Medicago truncatula: one gene and its partners. The main gene of each other region encodes a partner of the protein of the gene in region 2 in a complex. Links are inferred from orthologs where the notes say so. Each region holds a gene or a part of one and is shown on either strand. Other genes may lie near its edges.

Region 1 (10,353 bases), on a different chromosome or scaffold from region 2:
CCTCGGTCCCTGTCCCTATTCCTATCCCGGTCTCTGTGGTGCCTATCCTCTCTATGATCACGATCACGATCCCTAGCCTTATCGCTAGATCGTTCACGTGATCGCTCTCGTTCTCTATCTCTGTCCTTACCTCTTTCACGTGACTTCTCTCTGTCCCTACAATGATTTTAGCCAGCAGCAGTCAAAATTTGTTTCAAAATCCACTATTGTCAAGAAACCAATTAGCTAGTTAAATTGAAGCAGAAACCAAATTATTACCGATCAGCATGTCGCTCCTCCCGTACTCTGGGTTCTTCGGAACGAGAAGGTCCTGATTGCTGTTGCTCCCTGAATAAATCAAGACATATCAGAATTTCCCCTCGATGTTACAGAGTAAGCATCCAACAAATTAATTACACACAACATTCGATAAGACATATTCAGAATATGAAAATTTGAATTTAGGGTGCTGCTCATGAGTTGAGCAAACCAATGCCATCATGAACCAAAAATGTTAATGCAAACAATTCTTGATGCAAAAAGTTTCAAATTCAATGTGAATTTACTGCTTCAGAATTTGGAGTAGGATGGTTGGGTTTGGAGAAGATAGACGGGTATGAGCCAGATATTTCCAACAGATGAACATAATATTGACAAATTTACATGTACAGCGAACTTGATAAATGTTAACTAAATTCCAAACACCAGAACCATACAATTGTCAGGTCCACCCAGGTGAGGAAATAATTGTTGCAAACATCTCAAATTCGCAGTCAATTACAACACAAATATGCATATCATAGAACAAGGTCATTTAAAAATGTTTTCGGTTTTCAAATTTAGTTGTAATAATTCCTCGGGTTTAAAATAAGTAATAAAAGAAATTTATGAAGCAGCGACACAAACACATCAACGCCGGTAAAAATTTGAGAAAAATGATTTAATTTAATGTAAACAGTGTAGGTGTCGAACAACAAACTCGCCTTCAATTTGAAGTGTCAATACAACTGAGAATAAAATCCTATTAAAAAAAATAATAATAATTACCTTCCTGAATGTCGCTGATTAACTTCATCGCCCCCCACTCTAGTAGTACCAAGCCCACCACCTAGACGGCGGGGTCGCCAATTTGGAACAGTTCTCCCACGTTCAACATCCACAAGCACCCTCCTACCCTCAATTTTCCTACCATCAGCTTGTTTATAAGCAGCTGCATAATTAACGATAAATATGACTTCAGCAAAATGTTATATAAGTATATATAGTAATAATCAGACATATGTTAATAAATCACTATCAACCTTTCATGTCTCTTGTGTGCAGGTATTCAATGAATGCATAACCCCTGGGCTTATTTGACTCAGCATCAGTAACCAGCCGAACCTAAATCATAAGAAAATGGAAGGGAAAAAAAAAAAAGCATAGTCAGAAGAGAACATTCTGGTAATCAGCTCAAAAGAAAATAACACAAGATGATCTCTCATATTCTCACTTCAGAACCAATAAAATACCAACACTAATATCCTAAATGGCACGGCAGACAGGCTCTATGCCTAATTAGCCGTGCTCACCTTTAAATCATACAGCTCCCATCGTGAGATGCATCACCACCGGCAATAGTTGCAGAAAAACTGATGTATTTGGCCCAATTAACCAGGTGTTGACTAGTGTCCCCTTACCAGGGATATTAATTTTTAAAATTGATAAAATGGAAACAACTCTGGGTAATATAGAAAATACCATAACATCTTCTCAACAGCTGATTTTGTTTTGATAGCCTTTAAAGCCAAAAATAAAGTTATAGCAACATCAAATGTAGGCTAACTAAGAATTTAATAAAAAAGGGAAGAGATTGAAATACACCCAACATATTTTACCCAGTGCAGGAAAAGAACAGAAGTTGTCAGTCTCCTTTACTTGATCGAAAACAAGGCCAAAGGCACAATTTTGCATATTGTTCTTACCAACTAAAATACCATGCAGGAGGAAGCACTTGAATGGAATTTGGGTTTTATTGTTATAGAATCAACCATTACCAGGGATGTGGATCGAGATAATCAACCATTACCAGGGACGTATATTAAGATGATAAACCATTACCAGGTGTTTGTGTCAAGGGGGGAGCTACAAACACTCTTTCTAACACTCTTTAATACCCACTCTCTTATTGGATGAAATTCATGTAAGTACCACACTTTGGAAATGGGTCCGACATAAAGTGGTGAGGCCCACATGAGTTTCACGCAATAGGAGACTCTGATCGAGAGTGTGTTAGAAAGAGTGTTTCTAGCATTTCTCGTGTCAAGATGTTAAATTTGCAGTTAAAAATTTCTAGAGACCCAAAGCCCCAAGATATCCCATCCATATTATATTAACAATTGGAATGGAGCAAAGTGGAAAATGACAAAAGAAAATAAATAAAAAGCAATCAACAACAAATTGGTGGAGCAACCAAAAGCATTGATTATTACCATTTCAAAACCACTAAAATTGACAAATTAAATCAGGAACGTTCGTATTCTATACCCTTGAAACTTCGGATAGGATGAGATAGATATTACACATAGCAGACTGATTTCCTGATAAGCTATTTAGTCATGAAAACCTCTCAAGTCACAAAAAACATTTTCTTCAGTGGCAAAAGGAAAGGTATAAAGATTGTATTATGCTCAAATAGCTAGTATTTTGTTTTCTGCGATACATCACTGTATATGGAAATTGTTGAATTTGAAAATAATACAGTTTGAAGGCTCAAAAGTTGTAAAGATGTCAAAAAGAAGTAAAATAGAGTAAGTTTTGAACCACACATAGATGATAAGCTTACCGAACCCTTTTGAACATATTCAAAATACCTACCCGTTTGATTGCACCATATGACTCAAACTCCCTTTTGATTCTGCTCTCAGTAGTCTCATAACTCTGTTGGAAGATGGAATCAATAAGATATGACAAGCAATATGAAAAAGCACAGTAGTTACTCTATTGGAAAATATAACTTACAAGTCTGGCCACGAATAAAGTCTTGTATGGATCTCCTGATATATTTGGATCGTTGTGTGGATCATCTACATTGAAACATATAGAAAAATATTCAGATAACATAATCCACAAAAATCAACAAATATTCAGATAACATAATCCACAAAAATCAACAAATTTAAAACAGTATATATAAGAGTCATCACATTTCTCAAGCTCCTCAGCAGCTTTTGCAGCTCCCTTCTCCAGTCTTAACTTGTGCACTCTTGCCCTTCTTTCTGCCTGAGTATACCAAAATGGATCAGCGATTATGCCTTTATTATACTCTTCACTATTGAAACAAGGGCTTTGGCATTTAAACTACTTTACTGCTTTTATATGCCAATTGCTACATTAACTATACATTATAATAACCACTTGTTTAAGTAAATTGAAGAAAAACTGGAACCTGGTAAAGACTGAATATGCAATAGTAATTGTATTTTTCAACTAATATGTTGAGTACCCAAACTATCTATTTGTTATTCATGACCACAACATTGATTCGGATATTTTCTTAGAACGAATTAGTACCGTAGAAAAAAGCAGGCGCAATGAGTCAAATTTAGCCAGTTAAACATTGTGCTTGCACAATATTACACAGTAAAACTTAACTACAGAATATAGCAGCAACAAAACACTTCTGAGGACAAATATTTTTTTGCAAACTAATAATTAGTTAACTTAACTGTTTTCTTAAGGACATCTTCTAAAAAGCATAATAAACTTTAAAAGATATATGAAAAAATAAATATACTAAAAAAAATATAAACTCATTGCATCAAATCAACCCACCAAAGACATGCCCGACAAAAAAAAAAAAAAACACTCAGTTACGAAACTATGCTTAACACAATTAAAACTAATAATTCCAGCATGATTAGTATCAAAAGAACAGAACATTACAGGAGTTTCAACTACTGGCACAGGCGGAGAATATTCCGGTTCACCAGGTTCAGCAAATTTGCTCACAAATTGCGCCATCCCTAAACAAAAAAACATAAAACGAAGGATTAATTGCATAATTAACTATAATTAACATCAATTCACAACAAATGATCATGTAGACCTAACAAAAACAATAATCAAACACCTGTTAACGGAGGACATTTTCGTTTCTCCGGTGGAGGTTTATACTCCAACGGCGGCCTAGGTTCAAATAGCTTCAACAAATTCGCAGTCAATCCAGTTGGATGACTCTGTCCAATCTGCATCAAATCAATTACAATCAAATCAAATTAATCAACAAAAATTAACTAATCTAATATCTAGGGTTACGAACAATAAACCCTAACTATTGAAAATCAACAACAACTTCGTTAATTATGAAGAAACTTAGGTCAAATTAACAACGAAAAGTGAGGGAAAGAGTATGAATCTATACCAGTTTGAGTTGAAGGACGTTGGCGCGGTTCTGAGCTTTGGTACGAGCTTGAACGGCGGCGTTTTGGTTGCGCAGAAGAGGATCTTCCATGGTGAAGATTCGATGAAATCACGAGAGAATTGAATTGATGAGATCGTTAGATCCGGTTTGCGTCTCGGCTATGAGCGAGCGCTAGCTGAATCTCGAACCTGACTGCTACTGAGAAGTATTTATAGTGAGGGGAGGAAAAGTACGCTTTTTAAGCATAACATAAGTCTGTTTTGGAGGTGTTTGAAGAGTCACAAAGGGCTAATAAAGATTTAGGCTTAAATATTTTTTGGTCCTTTATTTTGAAGTTTATATTGGTCTCTTATTAAAAAAAAAATATAGAAAGATCTTTTAATTTGTTTAATTGGGTATCGTGTTAGTCTTTTTCATGCGAATTCATGGTTTTGAAGTATGAGATTTATGTGAATTTGTGTTGGATCTATTCTCTATATCATTGTTCAACAATTTCAAAAAGGAATAATGATGATAAATCTCGTGATTTTGACATTTTTGCTCATACAGAAAGAATATTGACGTCAATCTCTAATTTGGAGTGAAGAATAGGGGGATATATCATATATGGGTTCCAATGAACCTTAATTTTGATTTATAGGAGAATTGATAAAGTAGGAAGAATGAGATGTTAACTTACATGGTCATGTACACTGCAATTAACGTTGTTGGCCTTTGATGGATGAAAAGGACCTATTTGCGCATTTTTTAAATAAGGGACCAATATGAATGTCAAAATAAAGATAAAGGATCAAAAGGGTGTTTAAGCCTAAGCTTTACTATAAGTGAATAGGTATTTTCATCCTTGAATTTGCACACATCGTTCAATTTCGTCTTCAAATTATTTGAAATAACGAAAATTTTCCTAAATTTTGCGAACGTCATGCCTCCGTCAAATCTCACCGTTAACAGTGATGACATATAACGTTAAGCACTAACGTGAATTGCAAACTCAAATGTCATGTATTCGATGAGGAAATTGATTGAAATTGTGAATTCCTTTTTTTTTTCCTTATTGAAATAAAAGTCATTACAAATTGTTGCAATGTCAAATCGATCCCTAAATTATTCATTGAAAATCAAGATCGTCCTTGAATTATGTCACTCGCTATCAAATTGACTTCTAAAGTATTCATGTTAACTATCAAACTGATCTCTGATACTCGCAAATAAATGCTAAAAATTAAAATAATATGTTTAACGGTTATTTATTACCTTTTGCATATTTGAAATGAAGTTTCATCCATGTTGAACGTAGCATCAAAGGTCGTCAGGCAACAGTGTTGAAAACCAATTCAAATTATTTGTTTTCGCTAGTTTACCATAAAAAAAATAGACAATTTAAATTTACCATAAAGAAAATAGACAATGAAGTAGAAACTAGGACCTTTTTAAATTTGCATACACATTGCACGTAAAGTATCCATTGATTATCTAATACAATTTTATGTTTTGTTTGTATTTACTTCCATGGGTAACACATTATTGCATGCCCTATCGCAAACGGTCAACGTGTCTTCTTCTCTTGCTGTTAGCCACAATTTCAAATGAAGAGTTCTTTCATCTCATTATTGTGCCACCAAATCCCTAACTGCCACTCAACCACCAGGACTGGAACTTCTTTAAGGCTTTCGTATGCAAATTTACATTTATAATAGCATATATTTGTGGATATAGAAAACAAAGAGAATTTGAAGTGGTTTTCCACACTTTTGCATGAATAAATTGGAGGTTACGCTGAACATGAATGAAACTTCATGTCAAACATTCAAAAGGTAATAAATAACAATTAAACACGTTTTTTTAGTTTTTAGTATTTATTCGTTGACAATATTTGGAATCAATTTGATAGTTAAGATAAATAATTTAATGGTAAACTGAAAGCTTATGGTAACAATACAACAGACAATGAGTCTCACAAGAAATCAAACGACGAGACAACAAAAGAAGTGTTTGTCATTGAAGATGCAAATGTTGAGGAATATCACAAAAATCCTTATGAGTTAATGTTTTAATGATAACAAACTTAATTAAACATAAGATCAAAGATGGTTCTTATATGTTTTGGTTTCTTACAAGTTTCTTTGAGTGTTCTTTATAACATAACTGGAGAGTTTTGCATCTCTATATTAAAATTCATTTATAGTAAACATATTTTGTTTTGCATTGGTGCTTATATATAGAACAATTATGGTGGGATACGAAAAACTTCAATCTCATGTTTAGATACTTGTGTTGGGATTTCTTTAAAGTACAAAATATTTTTTTTAAGAACTAAGGTGCTCCAACTATTCATACACCTTAACAAATAATGTTAAGTATACTATAACAAAAGAAATGTTGCAATCTAAGCATTTATATACTAGAACATACGAGAAATAAAAAATACTAAACAATAATGACCGGTTGCAAATGAGGTGAATTAGGTATAAAGGAAATTTTACTCTTAACATATTATTTACCATTATAAGCAACATAACTATTTTTTTAAGAAGTGTACATAACTCAAACGAGACGGATGTAGGAGATCAAAATCTTGATCTATAGTTGTTCATAAAACATAAATGTGAAACAATCACAACATTTGTAATACAATCTACATGTAACATTAATGAGTAATGAACTATTTTTATAATTTTTTTTTATCTCTAATTCAAAAAATAAACAAACTTGTGTAATGCTAAAGTACATACTACATACAAAAATATTAAATAATTAATGAATAAAATTAGTTTGTATTAAGTTGCACTGTGTAAATGTGAATCTCAAACACTCAAAAGTCCCCAACAGTGCTCCAAAACTAGCACGTTCATTCTCGTTTGTCAATAACAACACACTACACTTCTTATCAAGAATTGTTAATATTATTCTCTTTGATTTGATTTGATTCAGCTATATATGTATAAGAAGTGTTGCTTCATGTTTCTAGTGCTCACGGCTATCAAATTATTGACTTGACATTATTTGTTTTCTGAACTTTGTCATATCTGTATTGTAATAAGGCGTTGTCAATTTTTTTCACTATCAATTACTTGATCTCTCTCACAGGAAAATGCACAAGCTCAAAAATACCAAAACTAGTAAACTGATAGAGAAACATGGAAACCTCACAATTTGTGCAGTTCTAACTTCTAACTTATTAGCTTAATGGGATAAAGCAATATACACATGTCTATTCAAAAGCTAACATTTGCAGCTTTGAAAAAATCATGTTGAAATCACATATCAAAACGCAAGAGAAATAAAAATGGGCATGTAACTAAAAATATAAAACTAAAGATTTAACACTTTATCATCCTAAATTTACCTAGGAGAGTTAACTATGTTTTCAAACCCAATGGTGATTCATTCTGCAATAAGCATCAGTAATACAAGTAATATAAATAATGACAACTAAATCATTTTTGTCTACTTAGTAAAATAATCATTTACATAATGGTAAAACATTTTCTTTTATGGTTTTCTTTATGTTCAAAAAAATAAAGTTCCGATCATGTTTCTGTGAGCACACAATATAATTTTCATTTTTAAAAAATTCAACCTCAAGTTATAGATGGTCAACTACAAAACCATCGATGCTCATGAGAAAATTGTTGGAACTGAATCTCTTCAACAATTGCCTCAATCTCAACTGCAAATGTCAATATATCTTCATGAAATTCTCTCGCAAAATGTATTGAGATGGTTTGACTAGTTGGGGATATCATCTTATCCTCTAACAAACGGAGCACTTTCAACAAACAAATTATCTCAACAATCGACCTATCAGGTATTTCTATAGGTATACCTTGTTAATAATAATTATAAACAAAAAAGTAACAAATCAATAAATTTCTTAACTCAACTCGAGTTACAGTACATTTCACAAATTACAAAACTTGTTACATTTCCATAGAAAGTGGGAGATCGTGAATGCAATAGAAAAAGGACAAGAAAACATCGGCAACAACAGCTAGCACTAGTTCAATAATCTTCAGATCAGTCATCAGAAAAATCTTATGACTACTATTCTTAAGATCAGTCATCACTTTCAAATAAAAACCATTATTCGTAATGCTTTCAAATAAAAACTATTCTTCGTAATGAAGATTTAGTTTTCATGAGTTCGGTTGTCAATCAAAAATTAATCATAATTCACCGGTATTTTAGTGTTGTGTTCATTTATAGTAAACATATTTTGTTTTGCATTGGTGCTTATATATAGAACAATTATGGTGGGATACGAAAAACTTTAATCTCATGTTTAGATACTTGTGTTGGGATTTCTTTAAAGTACAAAATATTTTTTTTAAGAACTAAGGTGCTCCAACTATTCATACACCTTAACAAATAATGTTAAGTATACTATAACAAAACAAATGTTGCAATCTAAGCATTTATATACTACAACATACGAGAAATAAAAAATACTAAACAATAATGACCGGTTGCAAATGAGGAGAATTAGGTATAAAGGAAATTTTACTCTTAACATATTATTTACCATTATAAGCAACATAACTATTTTTTTAAGAAGTGTACATAACTCAAACGAGACGGATGTAGGAGATCAAAATCTTGATCTATAGTTGTTCATAAAACATAAATGTGAAACAATCACAACATTTGTAATACAATCTACATGTAACATTAATGAGTAATGAACTATTTTTATAATTTTTTTTATCTCTAATTCAAAAAATAAACTTGTGTAATGCTAAAGTACATACTACATACAAAAATATTAAATAATTAATGAATAAAATTAGTTTGTATTAAGTTGCACTGTGTAAATGTGAATCTCAAACACTCAAAAGTCCCCAACAGTGCTCCAAAACTAGGACGTTCATTCTCGTTTGTCAATAACAACACACCACACTTCTTATCAAGAATTGTCAATATTATTCTCTTTGATTTGATTTGATTCAGCTATATATGTATAAGAAGTGTTGCTTGATGTTTCTAGTGCTCACGGCTATCAAATTATTGACTTAACATTATTTGTTTTCTGAACTTTGTCATATCTGCATTGTAATAAGGCGTTGTCGGTTTTTTTCACTATCAATTACTTGATCCTTCTCACAGGAAAATGCAGAAGCTCAAAAATACCAAAACTAGTAAACTGATAGAGAAACATGGAAACCTCACAATTTGTGCAGTTCTAACTTCTAACTTATTAGCTTAATGGGACAAAGCAATATACACATGTCTATTCAAAAGCTAACATTTGCAGCTTTGAAAAAATCATGTTGAAATCACATATCAAAACGCAAGAGAAATAAAAATGGGCATGTAACCAAAAACATAAAACTAAAGATTTAACACTTTATCATCCTAAATTTACCTATGAGAGTTAACTATGTTTTCAAACCCAATGGTGATTCCTTCTGCAATAAGCATCAGTAATACAAAATAATGACAACTAAATCATTTTTGTCTACTTGAAAATTATACAATGGAACTCAGAAAATGCAATAAGCATCAGTAAAATAATCATTTACATAATGGTAAAACATTTTCTTTTATGGTTTTTTTATGTTCAAAACAATAAAGTTCCGATCATGTTTCCGTGACCACACAGTATAATTTTCATTTTTTAAAAATTCAACCTCAAGTTATAGATGGTCAACTACAAAACCATCGATGCTCATGAGAAAATTGTTGGAACTGAATCTCTTCAACAATTGCCCCAATCTCAACTGCAGATGTCAGTATATCTTCATGAAATTCTCTCCCAAAATGTATTGAGATAGTTTGACTAGTTGGGGATATCATCTTATCCTCTAACAAACGGTGCACTTTCAACAAACGAATTATCTCAACAATCGACCTATCAGGTATTTCTATAGGTATACCTTGTTAATAATTATAAACAAAAAAGTAATAAATCAATAAATTTCTTAACTCAACTTGAGTTACAGTACATTTCACAAATTACAAAACTTGTTACATTT
Region 2 (10,693 bases):
AGGTGGCCTGCCTCTGTCAATAAGAAAATTTTACCCAGGCGTTGGTACATTTTCAAAGTATTATCATGCAAAGTTCAATCAATCAAAACATGACTAGGAATTAAAACTTTGCATTTATGGATGCATATGCACTACAAATGTTGGTGGACACTGGAAGTATTCTGTAAAATAAGCATTTCTTCCTAAGAAACAAGATTTTTTTTAAAGGAACCTTGATTCCTAAGAAACAAGATCGAAATCCCCAACTGCCATGATTATATCACGTAAAAAATTCATTTTTCATTTTATAAAATATTCAGTCCTACATAATAAGCATCAATTAAATCTTCACTAAGGACTACATACATGACCATTCAAGGGAATGTCGAATTTTGGATAACTACAAAACACCTCGGGTCCAAACATCATATAAAATATTCAGTCCTACATAATAAGCATCAATTAAATCTTCACTAAGGATTACATACATGACCATTCAAGGGAATGCCGAATTTTGGATAACTACAAAACACCTCGGGTCCAAACATCATATGTTCACATGCTCATTTACAACACTTTATTTTATGCTTCTATCAAAATATTATTATGCTAAAAAAAAATAAATCATTTTAGAGAACTGAGATATTGCATGAGACAAAATTACCTGCGAGGTGAGAATGATCTTGAGCGTGAGCGTGCAGATCTACGTATTGGAGAGCGACTACGCCTACGACCAACTGGAGATCTTCTAGGAGGACTACGGGCTCGTCTAGGAGGTGAACTATAAAAAAAACATTTATTTTTCCAATGAGCAATCAATGGCATGTTAAAATGCAAATTGAAAAACAATAAACGAGGAAAATAAGCACTCAAAATATGGTTACCGGCGTCTTGGAGGTGGAGGAGGAGAACGTCTCCGACCTGGGCCTGGGCTTCCACGCATCCTTCGAGGTGATACCCTACAAAAATGAAAATTAATTGAGTCGGCTGTATAATGAAATTGTATATGAAAAACATGCATGCAATCACAAGCCAACCTTGCAGGGGATCTAAGGCGCCTTGGTGGTGGAGATGGAGAACGACCTCTTCCGGGAGACACAGGTCTCCTCCTAGGAGGTGTGTCTCCAGCTCCGCGACGATAAGGAGAGTCTAATCGACGACGAACAGGAGAATCTGCACGGCGGCGAGGAGATTCTGGTCGTCTTGGAGATCCAGCTCTTCGAGGCACAGGAGATCTTCTTCGTGGTGAGGGAGGAGGTTTTCTCCGAGGAGAAGCTGGTACCATGAATAATTAGTTCAATACCAATATAAAAACCACCAATATGATAAATATAAAACAAAAAAATGTTCAACAAATATCAAGCATATACATTCTCTTGGACGCTTTGGCCCATCTTTTTCAACTTCTGCACCAGCATTATCAGTCCTGGGTGCATCTCTCTTTGGAGCAACAGCTTTTGGGGGTGGTGAAGCTTTCTGTCTTGGAGGTAGAGTAAATCTTGCCTTAACAACATTGCCATCTATTTGGGCCTGCATAACAAAAAAAACAAAGGCATCAATTTCCAAATGCGGCAGCCAACAAGCTTGATTGTGGAAATTAATCCAACTCGGGCAAAAGCAACCTACACCATCCATGTACAATAATGCTTTTTCAGCTTCCCCTCTTGTCTTGAAATGCACATATCCATATCCTTTTGGAAGATTAACCTGGAAAGTTTTTTAAAAGAAATTTAAAAACCTACGACTCTAAATTCTTCTAGAACTATGATGCCAAATTAAATGCAAACTTACAGCTCTATCCATCACCAACTCCACACTTACAACCTCGCCAAAATTACCTGAAAACAGGTCAGCAAAAGAGGATATGAGCTCCTTAAGATATAAAGGTCACTAAAAGTTCCCTTCCAATTACACACACAAGCTACTAGAGGCTACTAAAAAGTTTCTCTCGATTATTGGTATTTCAAGAGTGTATGCATAGATATGAAGCAACTATGCTCCCAGTTAATAATATGAATACTTATATTGAAGTATAAATGACAAAAAGATCAAAACTAAAATAAAAGAAACAGAAAAATTGCATTGGGCTTAAATTTTGGATCCTAATACCATGAGACACTGGTTTCAAATGAAAAATGTATCTCGATTCACAGTTGAAGACGAAAGCAGAAGTGAAAGAGTTTAACTTACTGAAAATTTCTTTCAAATGGCCTTCATTGACATTCCTGCTGAGTTTCTCAACGTGGAGAACAAGAGACTCACGTACAGGAGAAGGTTTCCTGAGATGAAGCATGATAAGTAAACATAGCAAAAGATAGAAGTTACAAATCGAAAGAAAACTTGTCAATTGTTGAACTTAGAAGGCTCACAATCACAGCATGTTTAATTAAATTTAAAAATGTGAGATGAAAAATAAAAAAATATTCTAACAAATTTACCACATCTTAAAGATATGATGAAAAAAGTCCGCACTGAAAATTATAAAAACAAACTTAACCAATGTATATTCAGTATTTTGAAAATTGGGTCCGCTACATATATCATGTCCACTCATACCACACATTCAATGAAACATTCTCATCTCCGCTACACTTATTTTACTCTCTCTCTCTCTCTCTCTCTCTCTCTCTCTCTCTCTCTCTCATATTGTCATTTCTAATTCTATCATGTCCACTCATACCACACATTCAATGAAACATTCTCATCTCCGCTACACCTCTCTCTCTCCCTCCCTCTCCCTCCCCCTCTCCCTCCCTCCCTCCCTCCCTCCCTCCCTCCCTCTCTCTCTCTCTCTCTCTCTGAATGAAACATTCTCATCTCCGCTACACTTATTTTACTCTCGTGCTGGTTCTTTACCACCCAACACTAACTCAACCCCACAAAACTAATTTATAAAGTGTGGAGAGTCCATACTTCATAAGATCTTATGAAGCACTATCTCTAGTAAATGGCGGACGCTGTTTTTCTAATACACATCATCCTCGCTCAGCACTACTGAGTTTGGAGTGTGGCCAATATAGTCGGTGGTCGAACATCAGATCTAAGATACCATCTTAAATTTTGGGCAAATTCAACTTAATGACATAAAACAAGCATGTAAGATGAGGATTGCCTAAGTTTTATAAGATCTATCTAAGTCTTATATCTCTTGCTAACATGTGACTAGGATTTTTTATAATTGTGCTATAATGTTCCATTATATCCCTTCTTTTATAATTACATTCAAATATAAAATAAATTTAGAAATTTCAACAATACAATAACTACAAAATAAACATCAAAATTCTGACTTGAGTTTTAAAAGAAATATTACTATACTTATTAATTAAATAATTTTGTTATCATGTTTATATTACAATCCTTTGTCTCGTGATCTCACGTTTTACAATCTTTTACCCCTTTTCCAATCCTATGCAGAATCTCAACTTTGACAACCTTGTATATAATCCATATCCCTGGCCATCTTACATATATCACTTTAGTCGGTGATGACCTCAATATATAGTAGACTGTTAACAGTTGACAATATAAATTGGCTACTGCGGTTTTCCACTACTAGTTTGTATCTTATTACCTAACAAGACATACCATGCTAAACTTCAACAAGAGTTAAGATATAGTATATAAAAAGCAAAAATGAAAGAATAATTTCATATCTCCAACGTCAAGATATGGCATATGAAAAATATGATTAGTAATAAAAACTCCCAGTCTCCATCTCCACGAGGGACATACACAAATACAAGAAGTGTCCTAGAAAAAAGTTGGATTGAAATAGCAAATTTGAAATGAGTTTACCTTGGAGGAGGAGAAGGTCTCTTAGACTGTGGAGGTGGAGGAAGAGGAGGAGATCGACCTCGCCTAGCTGGTTCAGCAGAACTACACAACAAAAATACTACCCTATCAATATGAACTGAAAAATATAAACTTTACTAAAATCAACAACATGGAAATTACTCCCACGAAATATTTAACCAAAAGAACCGTGATTTGTGCGTACAGTTCAAAATATAATGTACAGTGTACACCAATTAACCACATTTACATTACAGTGATCAAAATCATATTCATCAAAACAATAATTTGGACTAAAATTTAAAACTGGGCAGATTTCCATTTCCAACTTCTCCTATTTGAAAACCTAAACCGAACTCAAAATTGAAAATTAAAAACTGAAAAATATGACATTCTCAAATTAACATCTGAAAATCATAATTGTTTTCATCTTGAACATTTTCATGCATGTTCTTCTACGCAAAAAATCAAATTGACTTCGATTTTTCTAATGGTTCAAAATTTGAACGATTTGGCAAGAATTAAAGTTGAATCGAAGGATGGATGTACCTTTTGCGTCTTGGAGGAGGAGGACTACGGCTACGGCTCTTGGAACTGCGGGAGGGAGAGCGAGAAGAGGAAGAGAAGGATCTGGAACGGGAGCGGGAGCGAGAAGAGGAACGGGAAGAGGAGGAGAGAGAAGAAGATCCGGAGACGGAACCTGATGGTGGTGAGCGACGAGCTCGACCAGGTTTCGCCATTGTTGAAGAGAGAGAGCGTGAAACCCTCTATAAACCCTAGCTGGTAGTGAAGTGTTGGATTTGTGTGGAGTGAATCGAGGTAAGAAGAAAGAAAGAAAGAAAATGAATGAACGATACAGATTTTAGTTTTATTTTATTTTATTTTTACCCATTTTTTATGGGTCAGGATGAAGTTTGAATGGGTCGGGTTTACCCGAGTTTCATGGGTTAATTTCATTCATGGAACCATCATCATAACCAAGCAAGTTTATTAATTAAAATAAAAATTTGAGACTTACTTTTTAGTTCCACTTATTTCTTGAAAATTACACCCCTTTCCATTCGGGTTAGGCTGGTGGTATTAACTTAAAAACATGAGAGTGGATTATCTCCGGTGTTAATTTAGCGGGCTAATTTAACTTCAAAAGAAAAAAAAATTGAATAACATCATAATTATTTTTCATTTGAATGAATAAATTTGGACGAATGTTTTTTCATAATTATGCGAGTGTGTTTATGTAAGAGTTTCAAGTTTGAATACTTTAGATGTCAACATTTATTGTTTCGTTAGTCATTACGACGTTTATCCTTCAAATTAGCATATCCTTAGACCCAAATACCAAGTTTAAAAAAAAATGGCGGAAAGAATGATTTAGAAGGCCAAATCCTTTTTTGCTCAATACAAAGGACTACTTTTGAGGTTGCTTTTTGCATTCATATTCTTTCCTTAAGCCTAAAAACATTTTAGGTCAGTTCTAAGCCATCACATTCTTGGCAAAGTCTGCACACGTTAATGAGAAAAGTAACTTTACAACATAAATTAAACCATAGTAAGATTTGAATGGCCCTCTGTCCACAATTCACTTAAAACTTCATATTGTGAGTTCCACTGATATCATTGTCATTAGCCTCTGTCAAAGCTGCTAAATCATACAAATACAGTATCCCAAATTCCCAATGGTCATAAACAACGCATTCCAGGGTGATTAACTGTTATAACAAGTCAGTTTTTCAAGCTTAAGCTAATAATTTGTTTAATCAAGGTTCCTCGGTACTAGTAGATGCCTCAGAACGTCTTCTCTTTGCTTCATTATCACCCAGCTGCAACGAAACACATAAATCTTCATTACAGTCATTCCTCAATGAAGATAAATTCTCTGCTGCTGCAGCTTTGTCATGCACAGTGTGTTTGTGCAACGGTGACCGCCCGATGAAACTCGGAATGAACTGATGTTCAATACTGGGACCACCTACCTTGATTCCGTCTTCTAATTTAAATTCAGCCTCCATGGTTGATGGTTTCATTTCCTGGCTGTTAGGTTCAACTCCTAAGGGAATAGACTGGATTTGAAGACCAAGAGGCTCAAATTTGTCTTCCACTCTATCTTTCTGATGCATACCATCAGGAGTTGAGGAATCACCAACAATAGAGCCCATAAATGTAGCCGATGCAGTCCTTTGTTCTTGCACCGCCACTACACAAAAAGATATTGATTTTAGAATTTAACCTCTAGTTTCACTTCATTAAGATAATCCTGATCAGTTGATAGAAAATTGTTTTCAACATTTTCAATGCTATCTTCACTATTAGGAGACAGAAACATAGGAATATAGTAAATTAAAAAAAAAAATGATTATATGCTAGTTGGTTTTTAACAAGAAAACAATGCTTTAAAAATCGAACCAGAGATCACGGTTGAACCAAATGATGAATAAAATATAAATTTAAAATGTGTGTGGTTGAATCAAACTGTGTTTGACTATGGTTCAACCAGACTGTGGTAAAACCGGGATCAAACCAACCAGCGAACTTGTCGGTTCCCGTTTGAACTGGACAGTTCAATCTGGTTTTTGAAACATTTAAGAATACAGCTGATCAATGCATAGCTAAACACACTATTACCCTACCAAATCATATCATCAGATTAATTCATTCAATTACCCACCCTATGCCCTATAGGCATCAACACAATTTCATATATGAGAACAACAACCTAATATAAGTTCTAACCCCGTATTTGAGAATTATAAATTGAAATAACGATGATGATGATGGTGATAGTGATAGTGATAGTGAAAGATAGACAAACCTCTAAGTCCTTCATCACTTGTAATCAAATCAAGTTCAAGTAGATTAAGAAGACGTCCTAGATCAACCCCACTAGTCCAATTCTCCGGAGGTAGCCCAATTTTTAACTTAAGGCGGCCCCTATTAGCAGTCCCTCCCCATATGATCCCAATTGGTCGTGGCTTCTCACCGTTGTCACCTTTAAACATTATGAGACTTCCACTATCTCCTTCAAGGTCAAAAGTTTGTTGGTTTTCACCAACAACAAGAAAATCTGTTAGAAAGCATATACCCTTCTCATCATTGTACTCTAGGGCATACGCCAAAACAATTCCTGTTGTCAAGCCAGAACTTCTTCCAACCTTAACTACTTGTTTTCCAATAAGGGTACTAATTGGAGACTGTAGGTCAATAATTTTCACATCACCGATATCTCCAACGCCTCTCACTGAGGTAGTAACAGTGCACATGTCAAAGTCATCAGCAAAAGGAATGAATGCTCCGTCGGCTCTCACGAACGTCTCTGGAGGGGAAACACATCATGATATGTGATGAGTATGTGTAGCGAAAATAATGCAAGTAATCAGATTAAATCAATCAGACTTTTGAAATTATGTTACCTGGGTTTATTCCGGCAAATATTCCATACCAGAGCTCATCAGTTATAAATGAAGTTGCTCTCTCTACTGCCCCAAGATAAACCCCGGGTCCCAATGTGGGTGGAAGAGGATGAAACATCTTTTGATTTGGATAATCTAAATCGACTGCTACATGACGATTTGTGAGAAAACCAACTTGTCGGCTACCTGTTTGGCTCCTCACAATGGCACCCAAAGTTCCGTATGTCTCCTGGCTTGCCACCTAGACCAAGGAAGTAAGTGGTCAGAGGTGGAACATATTCACCAAATAGAACAGAAAAATGAGAATGAGAAATATTGCTATTAACTCTGCAAGCTGGCAATCGCAAGAGATTTTGCAAACCCTGTAATTTCACTCTTTAAATATCTCAAATGACTTCTTTTGACAAGCCCGATAAAACCACAAGATCTATATTTCTGGCCTCCCTAAATTTTTCGTTGTTTATTCAGGACAGAAAATTTTGAAATATAAACTGGTAGAGATTAGGCTGAAAGAAAATATCCCGAAATGTCTGGCCAATGACATTCGCATAATGAGATTGCCAAAGAAAAGGCATTGGAAACCAGATTTAAGGTTTAGTTCCAATTAAAATACTAAAACCATTGTTTAGTAGCATAGACATCCGTCTACAGGTACCATATGAGAATTAAAAACATGTAAAGATATAAAAACAGGTTCATTGAAGCACTAGATACTGCATGTAACACGATGAAGCTTGAAATCTAAGGTCTAAAATTTAAAGAAATTATGAATCTAATAGCTATATCTCCACGAGTCTATCGTAGAAGGTCAAGTCCATGCACTTATTAGTTATGTCAAGTTAAATGAATCTTGACAAAAGATGTTTTGTTGAATTTGCATACACAACCTGCAACGTTAGACTCGTGTAGGCATGGCTAAGCTTCCTAGGACAAACCACTACAGCATATGAATATGATATAAATTAAGGACAATAGTGCAGTAATTACACTCTGATTTTTTAGTGGAAGAGATTGCCAAGTATTAGGCTAAAAATGCTTCTTTAATCATCACATGCATGCGATATTAATCAAATCAAAAAAATTCTTTTGTAAACCAGATGATTTGTTTCCATAGGAAACATTAAATAAGAGAGCAAAAAAACACCTGAGATCCTGAACCAATGCACGGATCACCTCCACGCAAGTCATCCACAATCTCTGTATAGTGTTGTTCTTTCGGAACTGGTTCAGGTGCACCAAAATATGAGAATTCCACCACATCTACATCACACCATACTCCACCAGGCCCCTGATTCACAAATTAAACATCTATTTTAACTGCAGCAGCAGACACTAGAGATCACAACAAATATCTATATATATAGGTTAAAGCTGAACCTCAAGGGCAGTAGGAAGACACTGGATTGGGCTGAGCCATTGCTTGTGAACTTTCCTGGAAACAAACACCAGAATGGCGGGAATATCTGTCAATACACCTCTCCGAATACGAAAACCAATCGCTGTTCCAAGGCTGTAACAACGCAGTATCTTGCTGTGAAATGCTCTGATTGTCATGAGCTCAAGTAATGTGGTTGCCTGCTGCCCCTTCGGCAGACGACCAAGGGTTTCAGGTAGGACCCCCTTTTGTAGATTTAAAAAGTAGTTTGCTCTCTCTTCGGCAGCATCAGGCAAACGGCTAGGCCATGAGAAGTAAGCAGCATTGCTTTCACCATGCTGTCCAGCTGAAGCAAAAGGTTGTAGCGTCGGTGGACTAAGTGAAGGTAGATTAGAATGACCATAGCAATTCCTTTCAAGATCCAAAGCAGATTCTTCTGAGGGAGTTGAACCAGAGCACCGAACCCTCGAGTTAAGTCTTGGGCGCTCCATCTTTTGATTAACCTAAAGCAATGTTCTATTTTGAACCCAAAAAAACATCAATTTAGCACATATAGTCTTTAGTTTAATTCAAAACTCATGACAGTGAGAAATAACATCAATTTATGGCAAAAGAACTATAAATTATTTTAGTACAAAAGAAACATGTTACTATAAAAAAAGGGGAACCTCATGAGATAAATTCAACACATAAACTTATACTAATTTATAAATAAAGGTTGTTTTAAAGAAGTAATAATAATAGAAGCATGCAAAAAAAAAAAAATGGTTCAGGAGCAACTCATTGCATCAACAACAACAAAAATACACTCCAAGTAGAGCATAATTATGATGTTCCCCACTCAATTTAAGAAAAAACGTTCTTTTATCAAGTTAAGCAATTAACACATCCTTTTAAGAAAACAATACAGTTCAAGTAATGAACAAAATAAATAGATAAAATAAATAAAGAATAATTCCCTCAATGGAATTGGGAACAGAACCTAATTTTATACAATTTAATTGTCATATTCAAGCACATGGAAAGTGATTAAATTAATCAATTTACCATGAGAAATATAATTAAACAAGCTAAACTAAGTTTCAAGCATGTTAAAAACATTGCAAAACAACGAGGCTCAAGTTCAGAATATTTCATCCACACACACACACACACAAAAAAAAAAAAAAAAACAATTTTGTTTACTCTCATGAACAAATCAAGGTCAACAAACCACAAAAAGGCATATCCTTGTTGTATTTATGGTTTTTCAGTTTAACATTAAAAAAAACAAAAAGCTAAGATTTTGAAGGTAGACAAAAAGACCCAGATAGGTAAAAAAGCAAAAAAAATGAACAAAATGAAAAGCCAGAAAAAAGAACATGATTTGAACATACACAGTGTTAGTGGTCGGTTGAGGAGTGAAGATGAAAGTGGAAGAGCTTCCTTCATTGATATACAGAGTTCATTTGAAGAATCTGTAGAGAAGATGGAGAATTGAGAGAGGACGGAGTTTACTGTAGTTGAATTTCAGAAATTTCTATGCAAAGTTGCATAGAAATGTGGTAAAGTAAAGTCACCTCAGCTCAGTGTCTGTCTGTCTGTGCTGGGGGTGTCGAGACAGATTGCATGTTTTTAGTTTATTCTTTTTCTTTTATTTTATTACTTACATTTATTAATTAATTCAACATAAATAAATCAATTTTTATATATCTTGGCGTGGTGTTTACTTCGTGACATGTTGCCGACAAAAAACAACCTTCTTGGCCGCGACATTATCACAGGTGCAAGCACATCTTGTTTGGCGGGATGTGGACAGGTCGAAACAGCTCAGCATATGTTTCTTCAGTGTGATATATCTAGTTCTCTTTGGCAGCAGGTTCGATCTTGGATAGGTGTTTTCGATGTAGCCCATCATAGTATTTATAATCATTTTGTCCAGTTTACTAACTATTGTGGTGGTCTGAGGGAGCGTTGATCTTTTATGCAATTAATTTGGCTCCTTTGTATCTGGGTAGTTTGGAATGAGCATAATAATAGGTTATTGGCTTAAATATGCAAACCGTCCCTGTAATTTGGACGAATTTTGATTTTCGTCCCTGTAAAAAAAAAAATTTTAATTACATCCCTGTAAAATTTTTTTTGTTTTAAAAAGGTC
Region 3 (10,932 bases), on a different chromosome or scaffold from region 2:
GTTTTTTCCAACAATATATTGCAAGATACCTTGTGAAATCAGATGCCAAACAACACACAATAATGTCTAAAAGAGTGTATACCATTCTAATAGTTGAAACACCCAATTACACGTAACAAGACTCCTAAAGAATGAAATATGAAAACAAATAAATTAAAATTTATAGACTCTGATTTCTAATGAATTCATTAAAAGCTATTGCATTTTGGTACCAGAAAAAAAAAAAAAAAAAAATGGCATGTTGAACAGTTTTGAGAAAATGATTTTTTTTTCTTTCTAAAACTTCATCAAGAAGAATAAATAAAGCATGAAAATAGAAATAAACTAATCCAATCACATTATTCCTTACATAAATAACTGATCAGACCAAATTTAGCGTGGCACACATGATGCTTGATTTCATTAAAATACAGTCAGCAAAGAAAAACAAATCAATAGACCGTAAGCTCTCAAATTTCAACCATCCAGCATAATAACAGACGATATTAAGCAAACCAGAAGCACAGATGGAAAACAACTAGTGACATTGATCCCAGTAGCTAAAGGTGATAGCTAAAAAACTCTACTGTAGAAGCTTGTGAAGGCCAGTAAGGAAGCTGAAACTAGTTAAGGTCAGAGCGGTGATGCAAGACGCTAGGCGAGTGCGCATTAGTTAAACAGAACCAACCTTACTGATCCCACACAACAAAGATGCCGATCATTGCAGTCCCAAGAGTTTACCATGGAGAATAAAGACAAAACAAGGGACGAATATTCTAATTGACATGAAAACATATAGAAGCGCCAACCATCTATTTAACCACACGGAATGGTGAAGTTATTCACTTGGCAAATCTCAGTCAATTGGATTTCAAGAAGATGCAGCAAGTCGGTATCTATATTTTATCTATCCACCATTCAACTTCACCAATTCAAAAGGAGGATGAGCAAAAATGCAAGACATTTCAAGTGTGCGTGTTTAGTTAAATAGAATCAACCTTTTTGATTCCACAAATCCAAGATGTCGGTCATTGCAGCCCCAATACCATGGAAACTACAGACGTAACAAGGAGAAACATTGCAATCAACATGCAAACGTTTGGAACCAGCAATCATCAATTTAACCACACAGAATGGCGAGAAGCAGACACTACATGCAGTTAGTTACTAATCAAATTCCAATTTTGATTCGATTTCATGGAGGTGCAGCAAGTCAATAAATTCTATCTATCCATCTTTAAACTTGTCCAATTCAAAAGGAGGATGAAACTGTAGCATTCATCGAGAGTCAACAAAAAAAGGTCATAAGCAACTTCCTGATATTGCAGTTTTAGTCAACTTATATGCAGAAGCAACAAGATGAGAGGTTTGTGGAGGCATGCAGCACAAAAGCAGACAAGATGTACTAAGTGGTGAAACAATGCTGTTTTGGCCGATACCCACACTTCAAAACAGACAAACATCAACATTTTAGGATCCTTATTAATGACAATATATCAAAAAACACCATAGTGGATTAGCAAGACTAAAAAACAAAAAATCACCACAATATATATATATAAAGTAGGGAAGACTGGAGCGACCTTCAGGTTTTAGTAAGCTGAAGAGAGACAACCGACGCAAAACAGTGTCCAAGGCACCCTTTTGCGGCTACAACACTTAGCAATCCAAGTTCATAGTAATACCCATTCCATTGTCATGACATAACATAATTAACATGTATGTTGTATGCTCACCCAATCCTAGAGAAACTAGACTATAGCAGAGAGGGCTCCACAACAATTATTCATCATTTGCTCTGTTCACAATCAGATCTTAATCTCTGGAAAAAAGAAAAGGGAAGATTTAAAATATGGGTAATAAGTTCTCAATTCTCATGCCATTCATTAACTCAAATCACATCATCAGAGAAACTGAGTTGAACATAATCAATCGTACCCGTTGGCATAAGGTGAATCACGGCGAGAATAACGGTATGGAGGAGGGGATCTGCTGTAGCTACGACCACGAGGAGGTGTTATGCTACGTCGTCTTGGAGATCTTCTCCCACGCGGGCTATAACTCCTGATAAAATGAAGCGAACCCAAATGAAAACAAAACATGAGAAGATGAATATATCAATAAAAGAATGGTTGCTACAAAATGACATGTTTGAGATGCTTATTATAATGCACTTACAAATTGTACAGTGGAAATGAGGAATTTCAAATATTATGAATGTTGTCAATTTGACATTGAGATCTTTTCCAGCCACTCAGTGGTTAAGTTGAATTTATTTTAGTTAATGATTTATGAATATCCTTTCCAGGCTGAGTGAGAGGACAGGCTAAGAATGTTATAAATCATTGCAGTTAAATTTTCCCAAGCAGAGAGAAATTTCAATTAAATAAATGATGTGAAATGGTGATACAAATTGACAATTAAATAGAGCTTGCAATAAAGAAGTCAACAAATCTACCAAATTAACAAGGAATAAAAGGCAAACTATGAAGTACATAAAATGAGAAGTGTTATAAGTTGGGGATGGATGATCATGTCGGAAAGCTAAAAATCTGCCATATCCGCCATAAAACGCCACCATCCTTCACAATCTTCCCCGGGCGTTTGTCAAAAAATACACTACCGCAATCCGGCATGGCCAACATTTGACAACGCTAAAAATGAGAACCGAAAAAGTGTTGTCCCCAACATAATTTGCAGAACAATCACAAGCAAGCACCTCAGCAAAGATATTGAATTTCATTCGAATAGAGGCGAAAGATATGAAAAATATAAAAATAAAAAAGATATGATGCACGCCGTTGATTATTTCACCAACTTCAAGCAGGTTATGGATTGTGTTAACATTTTCTAAACAAATTCCTGTTCCCATATCAGTGCGTAAAAGTACAGTTTTGCAATCAATGTATCAAAGATATTTGCATTCCTTAACAATGACGTCCAATCCAAACTCTAACAAAATAAAAAGCTAAAAGCTTGCTAATTGAAAAAGTTGCTATTGAAATGCAGAATTTTTTGGATTCATATAAAGCGTGTGCACATAACATACCTGCGATCATAACCATAATTTGGACTTCCACGGCGCCGATAATAAGGACTAGGACTTCGTCTCCTTCCATTTCCTAGGCCTCGTGAACCACCGCGTGAACGGCACTCCCGAGCAAAGTGTCCAGGTTCACCACATTCATAGCATTTGAGGTCATCCCCTCCGCGTCCACCACGCCCACCACCACGGCCTCCTCCTCCTCCACTCTTAGAATTATGAGAAAGCTCTACACGCCAGCCATTTTTTCCTATACGACATTCATACATTATGATAACCCCAAATCTCAATATGATGCATAAAAAGAAGAAAGACAAATGCTAATCACCAACAACATACACTCAACAATGATGACAAATTGACAAATAGGAAACTTACCATCCAATTCATGAATTGCATCAAGGGCGTCCCTCCGATCATCAAACTCGATAAATGCATATCCTGGTGGTCTGCGAGCCACCCAGACACTGTATTGCAAAAAACAATAATTAAAATTTAAGACTTTAAATCAATAATAATGGAACAAATTATGAAAAATGTGTAACACAAACAAAATGAAAACTAAGTTCATGAACAAAACCTATATCAATATTGTTAATCACAACGCTGGCCTTACCATAAAGCAACTAAAGCAATGGCTTTAGGCCTCTAATTTGCATTAATATTTAGCCTATAAATCTAGACCTCCAAATAATTTGTATATATTTTTTATCTACAACATATTTTAGTGTTCTCCTATTAGAACATAATTAATGGTGTAGCAGCGGTAAAGTACTCTTTCTTCAGCCGAATGATCGCAGGATCGAACCTGCCATTTTCATTTTGGGAGTTCACATTCCTCACATTTTTTGGAAAAAAGAACATTAATTAAAATAACTAAATAAGAAAATATCTACTGTTGCAGTAGGATCAAACCCGTGGCGCCATCTATCCTAGACAAAATCTTAACCAATGAACCGTTATTATGCCTTCTTTGAATTTACTTCAATTATCCATTCTCTTTACTCTCACTTAATTAGTTTCTCCCATAAAAATGTTCATGCAGACAATAACGAACTAATTATTGATAAATAAATAAATAACTATAAAAAAATAAAAATAAAAAAAATAAAAAAAACAAATTTACAAATAATTATCAACTTGACGTAAATAATTAACTGATAACTCAATCATTAACCACAATTTCAATGTAATCATTCCTAAACTGAAAATATTTCTATCAATTCAAATAAATTTTCTTTGTTGAATGAGAGTGAAGAAGAAATTACCTGCGAAGAACACCATACACACGAAATTCATCTTCAAGTTCCCTCTCAGTGACTCGAGGGTCCAAATTCCCAATATAAACCCTAGCCATTCTCTCAAAACCTGTACAAAATTATTATTGTGAAAACGAAAAAGTTACTAATCATCACCCAAAAAAAAAACGAAAAATTTGAGAAGAAAATGTACGAAATTTTACAGTTTGGGAAATCAGAGATCACCTGCAAGTGAAAGAATTGTACAGAATTCTCTATGATCGTGAGTGAGCGTGTTAAGTCCCTAGAATTTCTAATGCTTCAAACGATGGCGTTTTGGGCTTATTAGTTTTAGTTGGGTATTCTAATAATTTGCTTTTAAACCCCCTTCTTACTTTCTTCACTTTTGGGCTAGATATTTAAAATACAACACCAAAGTGTCTCGAATATGATATAATATATTTATAGATATCAAATTTTTAACATCAACTTCAAGAACACAAAACCATCACAAAAAATTTTAAGGCTTAATTAGTTTTGATCCCACTATTTTTAGTTATTCGCAAAATTAATCCCCCAATTTTAAAATCACTCGATTTTAGTCACTTTATTCTATTTTTAGACTAAAAAAATTGTGATGGTGAATTGACATAGTTTGAATTACGTGTCATATGATGTGACAATAAGAATGACCACTATAAGTTCAAAACTATGTAAAAGAGATCTAAACTGAATGATTTTAAAATGGGAGGACAAATCTCATGAGTGAGTAAAAATAAGGGGGACTAAAACTGTAATTAAGTCAAATTATAAATTGTGAGTCTGTGTGTTAAAGAATATAGTGGAATGTGAGAGTTTTAAAAATAATATTTAAAAAACGGTCTCTATTTAAGTTTTGTCATTGTAATGTCCCTTATTTGTGTCCATTTTTTTACCTGGTCAAACTCGGTCACTTGCATTTGGAGCGAGACAGGTTTTATACACCCTTAGTTTGGACGAGGTAATTGAATATACTCCCTCCGTCCCAAATTGTATGTCGTTTTAGGGAAAAAATTTATCCCAAATTATATGTCGCTTTACAATATCAATGCAACATTAATGTTACTTTTCCTATTATAACCTTAATTATTTATTACTCTCTCTTCTTTCAATTCTTTCATTTATCTTTCCCATATTATTTATTAAGGATAATTTTGTAAAACAACTCATAATATCTTTTTTCCACACTATTAATTGCATTTCTTAATATGTGTGAAATGCCCAAAACGTCATACAATTTGATACGGAGGGAGTATTAGAGAAATTAAAATTCTATGTAATTCAAATCATTCGATGGCATTGTCTTCACTTTTAAATGTTTTTATTTGGATAGAGTAATAAATCGAAAAATAGAGGTCAATTTGATGGTAACTGAGAAACATTATAAATAGTACATTTATTGTGCTCATTGTTCAAGGCAAATTTAAAGCATGATCTCTTTGTGCTTTGAAGTGGTTTAAACATCAAAATTGCTTCAACCGGAACTAGATTTAGTCTTGAAAACCATATCGTCTTCTAAAATAACTATATAATGATGCAGGATTTTATAATCACTACAAAGTAAAAGCAATAGATATGAAATAGATAATGGGGCACAATGAGTCTTACCAATATAACTACCATAAGAATACGAAGCTATGATGGTAGGACACACCATTTGTATCTTGAAGGAGAGCAAATGATAATTTAGAGTTACCTCATCCTTAAGTAATGATTTCTTACAACACTAGAAAGGATTGGATTTGGAATTGTTCTTTATAGTTATGAACTCCAATATTCCAAAGCAAATCTTTTATAAATTACATATTTTCTAAATCAAATCAAATATAAAACTCTCAACAATCAAAACAAATCTAGCTAAACATTAAGGAGAAAAATAAACTTGATCACAAGTCTATGTGGATTGATATTTTTATCACGATGATAAATTCGTGCATTTGCGAACGTATCATACTTCTGCAGACAGACGTCCTTCTTGAGTGATCCTTTTGATATGAATATTTAGACTTTGAGTGAGCATGTGTCATATGGTATCCACAGGCCGCAATAGAGCGTGCGATCCACCAAGCTTGTTTTGTCTTTGGAGAGATTCATTTATAAGGTTGGAATTGTATGCGTTCATGAACTAACATGCAAAATAGCCAAAATTAAAGAAGGGACATGGATTTTGTTTCTTCAAAATGTGCCCTTGGTTTTTTTAATTTGCCATTATTATTATTTTCATTGCATCTTTGTTTTAATCTACTTAATTATAAAATCATAGAACAATCTATGCATAAGCATTATAAATTTCGACAAGCTTGCTTGGTTTAGGTGGCAGTTGCTCAATTTGAGAAAGGTATGTGTTAATTCGATAAACTTTTGTGCTTGTTCGCCGTTTTCTTTTCGGTTGCGGTGAATTAGTGTTTGTCGGGTAGATCTATAACGCCTATATGCGGCATCTTTGTATTGTTTTTCCTGCCGTCTCTTTACGTCTTGCGAGAATTTCAATTTTATTAAATTTTACCGATTAAAAAAAAAAGTTATTATTCACGTTCTCATGAAACTTAGAGAAACTAGAGGCGTTTCTCTGTTTAACGTTGTTAATGTTGACTTTAACAAAAGAAGATGGAAGATAATTGCTTTTCTTAAGTCTTCAATAACATTAACTTAGTATGCCTAGTAAGATCACTAGTTGTGAAGGGATTGTCTGACTATTTATTTCTAGTGTGAATCTAGACCCTCTGTTGAAAATTCATTTGTGGAATTTTTTTGAGATCAACAAAATGATCGACATCAAGTGGTTAATGATCTTCTGTTAATGATGAATTGTTTGAAAGAGTCTGAGTCTAAACCCTTGCAAGAACAAAATTTTGTCGGAGCTTACCTACTTCTTAACTGAATTTAGGATTATAACTCCTTCCTTTAGAACTTGGAGAGTTAAAACAAAAAGAAAAGAGTTGATTTGGTATCCCGATTTTAATGAATGAAATGAATTGTCCAATTATCAGTGGACCAGATATGAGATGATTATAAATGGGATTGTATCGGTGATCATGTCTTTATTTCTATCTGTCGTGAGTCAAACATGAAATCTCATTTCACGTGAACTTTAAAAAGTGAACTTTTTGTTCAAAAACATTATTAGGAAACCAAATAGATGCCATATCAGATGGTAACATATACATGTAGTTCTGTCCAAACAAAATATGCACGTGGAGTAATGTGGTTTGACACATTCAAGATAATCTAATTGTAGATTGAGATCAAACGGTTCAGATTCTTAATTTAATATTTTTTTTATTATTTTAAAAAATAAAATGCATATTAAAATATAGATCGTTCGTTCTTTGTTTAAGAACCAAATAGTAATGCAGGTGCTAAAAGAAACTAAAGAAACATGCTTTGAGTAATTATCCAAATAGTAATGCCGCTCTCGAATTAAAAATGAAAGTATGCTACAGTAACCATGTTCCTTTCGTGATACATTCGTGAATTGTTTTTTGTTTGAAGTAGCATTTCACAAATCTAAAAGGTAAAGACCTTATGTTAACAAATAACAACTTAATGCTATTAATTTTCAATATGAACACGAAAAGCTAATATATATAAGTCACTGAAAAGAAAACCACAAAATCACATTCATTTGTTTATAACATTGAGTTTTGAATTTCAACAAAGTCATTATATAGCGTATGTTTGTTTCAGCTTTAAAAAAATAGATTTTATGTTAAAAGAATTTAGGTATTTTTTTAGAAATTTTAAAAAAAATCTTTAAGTTATTTTTGTTTGCCTACTATCCATAAAAATTCATTTAAAAAAAAAAAGAGTTTTAACTTGTACATGTCTTACCTCCTTGTTTTTGAAAAATAATAAATTTTGAAAAAAGTTAATCCTAATAAATTTTCATTTTAGGGTCAAAATAGAATTATTTTTCTAAAAATCCTAAACAAACATTTAAAAATGAAAAAAGTGATTTTTTTTTATTTTTTAAAATTCAACGGGGCCATACTCCATATAAGTATGAACAATCTTCATGACCGGTATAAGATTTTTTATGCCCCGGGTGAATAAATCAAGTTGTGCCCTTTTAATTATTTGAATGTTTTTCTTATTAAATTTTTTGTTGCAAAGGACTCGTTTATAATCAATGTTCTCTAATAATATATTTCAATATAATTAATCAAAGTGAGTTAAAACAAAATATATTTTTATATTGTACGAACTAATATATTTTAATATAATTAGTGCCCCTAGAAAAATGGTGTCATAGGCCGTCGTCCCTCTTGCTCACCTTCAGAGCCACCCGCGACAAGTGTGTACTTTCTCATGAATTATATCTAAACAAATTTTGTATTTTCGTCATTTTGTAAACCTCTTCGTCGTAAGACGTGTCTACTTTTCAAAACAAAATCAACAAATACGTAGAAAACTAATAAGTCGGCCATAACTTTCTCAATTTAGGTTTTCTCTTCTATTTCTTGCATGGAAGGGGTGATTTTGAGTTAATTTGTGACCCGAAATCACCACTCTTCATCATTTTCTCTCAATTTCAACCGAAATAAGTTATTTCCACAAAGATCTAGATTCATTTTCTTTGTGATTTGGTCGTTTGAGTGCAGCGTTGTGTTGTTCAGTGTTCATTATGTTCTTATTGAAATATCGGCGATTTAATCAATTATTTGAGTGTCAACATTGCAGATTGATATATATGGGTATTCCAGTCACTTTTAATTGGTGTTATATGTTATTAATTTGAACATTGCGAGTTTGTTCACAGATTCATCATTTCCATCGTGATATACTCTATTTATTGAAATGAATAAATATCATTTTTTTTCTTCTTTTCAAAATAAATAAATAAGTAGAGCACTTTCTGCCAATGTGTTGATCCTAGAAGATGTATTCATTTCCATGTTGCTCAATAATTGCTTTATTTTTATTATTGCGATTTGGAGAAGAAGAAAATGAAACACTTGAATTCTCTCACAAGTAGAGCACTTTCTGCCAATGTCTAGATATTCACCCCATAATTAGATGATTGTCAAAACTTCATGTCACGTTAACGTTTTTATTTTGTACATGTTACGTAAACTTTTAATTGACCTACCGTTGTTGTTGCCGTTTCATGAGAAGAATCCACTGACATAAATCGCTCTAATTATGTGGCCAAAAGTAAACGTTTTATTACATGCCAAACAAAATCAGACGTAGGGCATAGCCGCATAAAACAGTACTTTTCAAGACGGTAATGGTTTTGATTTTGATGTAATAAAGGCTAAGGATTTTCGTTCAATTCTTTAGTTTTCTTTTGACTTGTGTTTCTGCATTATTGTGATTGAGGGAGCCCCCTAATTTAGTTTGTGCTTTGAATCAACCTCCTAGTGACATGTCCAACTTTGGGATGCTTATTGATATCATTCATAATTTAAGTCTTTTGTTTCATTTCTTTAGGATCAAGAGTGGACTTTGTCGAGAGTCCCACATCGGTTAGAAGTTGGCCTGATAATTTGTCTATAAGTGGGGGCAATCCTCACCACACAAGCCGGTTTTGTGGGGTTGTGTTAGGCCCAACCACAATTTCTATTATGGTATTAGAGCCTGTCGAATTCAAGGGCCACCTACCGATTCACGCACCAAGCTCAAAGAGTGTTGCTGGACGGAGGCAATCCTCACTTTATGAACCAATTTTTAAGATGAGTTAGGCCTCCAATTTCTTAAAAACAACTACCAAAGTTACTTGGATGCCGCTGAGGATGCATGGTGGCTGCTCACCTGCAAGCACTCAAACACTCAAGTTGAGTTTAACTGAATAAAAAACATGTATCTCTTACTAGAGTGATGAGTGTCTTTTATAGATGACGTGTAATGGACTATAAATCCTAAACACTAACGTGATTGTGATATTTTTGACGTAAATCCCATATCAGAGGGTTATGATTCAATCTGACGTGAATCCCATATAAGAGTCCATAGTGTTGGATTTTGGACCGATGAGCAAGGTCTTTTGGGAACTCGATAGCAAGGGAAAATGTTATAGTTCTAAAAGGTGTGTGGTCATTGGCCATTTGGAACTGTTCTTGATAAATTGGATCATTGAGTTTGTGGCAGATTCAGGTTTTAGTCTGGTTCAACGACAATACATTGGTACCTATGAAACACAGACATGACATAGGACATAATAAGATACCGACATGCTAATACCGATAATAATTTTAAAAAATAAAATAATTTATTAATTATAGGTGTCGTGTCGGTGTTGGACACACGTGTCCGACATCTGAACACATCTAAATTAAAGAGTATTTGTGCTTCATAGATTGGAATTGATTTTTATTTTTTTTAAATAAATTGTGTATCCAATTTGATTGGTGATTACTATTTGATTGTATCACATGTGACATGTCATTTGTGAGAGAAGTACTAATCTAACTATATATATATTGAGTTTGGAAAAATAAAGAGTTTTGTCATTACAAGAAATTCATCATATAAGCAAAAACCGTTGGTATAGGTAGTAAAACCCTATAGCAACGGGCACTTCGTACCGAATAACAGCAAAATACCCGACTCAATAGGTTATATATACCAACGGAAATTGTATGGCGTTGGAGAAAATTCTGATGTTATAACAACGACTGTTACACCTATTTA

Evidence for each region. The genes of interacting proteins can lie anywhere in the genome.
Region 1: serine/arginine-rich splicing factor SR45 (region 2) and U1 small nuclear ribonucleoprotein 70 kDa share a complex: the UniProt entries of both Arabidopsis thaliana proteins name them as parts of the spliceosome. The link is inferred for Medicago truncatula from reciprocal best matches to the Arabidopsis thaliana genes SR45 and U1-70K.
Region 3: serine/arginine-rich splicing factor SR45 (region 2) and serine/arginine-rich splicing factor RSZ21 share a complex: the UniProt entries of both Arabidopsis thaliana proteins name them as parts of the spliceosome. The link is inferred for Medicago truncatula from reciprocal best matches to the Arabidopsis thaliana genes SR45 and RSZ21.

Annotation. Positions count from the first base shown.
Region 1 is NC_053049.1:35,601,684-35,612,036, forward strand, and holds the start of U1 small nuclear ribonucleoprotein 70 kDa, read right to left. Parts: upstream 4,644-10,353; 5' UTR 4,472-4,643; coding exon 4,382-4,471; intron 4,206-4,381; coding exon 4,091-4,205; intron 3,984-4,090; coding exon 3,904-3,983; intron 3,241-3,903; coding exon 3,165-3,240; intron 3,045-3,164; coding exon 2,980-3,044; intron 2,899-2,979; coding exon 2,836-2,898; intron 1,363-2,835; coding exon 1,281-1,362; intron 1,190-1,280; coding exon 1,027-1,189; intron 328-1,026; coding exon 259-327; intron 157-258; coding exon 1-156. UniProt on the Arabidopsis thaliana protein: Mediates the splicing of pre-mRNA by binding to the loop I region of U1-snRNA.
Region 2 is NC_053043.1:34,991,374-35,002,066, forward strand, and holds the start of serine/arginine-rich splicing factor SR45, read right to left. Parts: upstream 4,621-10,693; 5' UTR 4,515-4,620; coding exon 4,324-4,514; intron 3,859-4,323; coding exon 3,778-3,858; intron 2,259-3,777; coding exon 2,170-2,258; intron 1,818-2,169; coding exon 1,771-1,817; intron 1,687-1,770; coding exon 1,606-1,686; intron 1,510-1,605; coding exon 1,350-1,509; intron 1,255-1,349; coding exon 1,017-1,254; intron 939-1,016; coding exon 864-938; intron 761-863; coding exon 644-760; intron 14-643; coding exon 1-13. Other genes in the region: protein NARROW LEAF 1, read right to left, coding at 5,532-5,968, 6,584-7,084, 7,182-7,422, 8,326-8,469, 8,559-9,047. UniProt on the Arabidopsis thaliana protein: Involved in 5' and 3' splicing site selection of introns, and may bridge the 5' and 3' components of the spliceosome. Isoform 1 is required during flower petal development and isoform 2 is involved in root growth.
Region 3 is NC_053049.1:29,285,015-29,295,946, reverse strand, and holds serine/arginine-rich splicing factor RSZ21, read right to left. Parts: upstream 4,644-10,932; 5' UTR 4,507-4,643; exon of another isoform or gene 4,485-4,506; intron 4,391-4,484; 5' UTR 4,380-4,390; coding exon 4,291-4,379; intron 3,490-4,290; coding exon 3,401-3,489; intron 3,273-3,400; coding exon 3,029-3,272; intron 2,044-3,028; coding exon 1,918-2,043; intron 1,802-1,917; coding exon 1,795-1,801; 3' UTR 302-1,794; downstream 1-301. UniProt on the Arabidopsis thaliana protein: Probably involved in intron recognition and spliceosome assembly.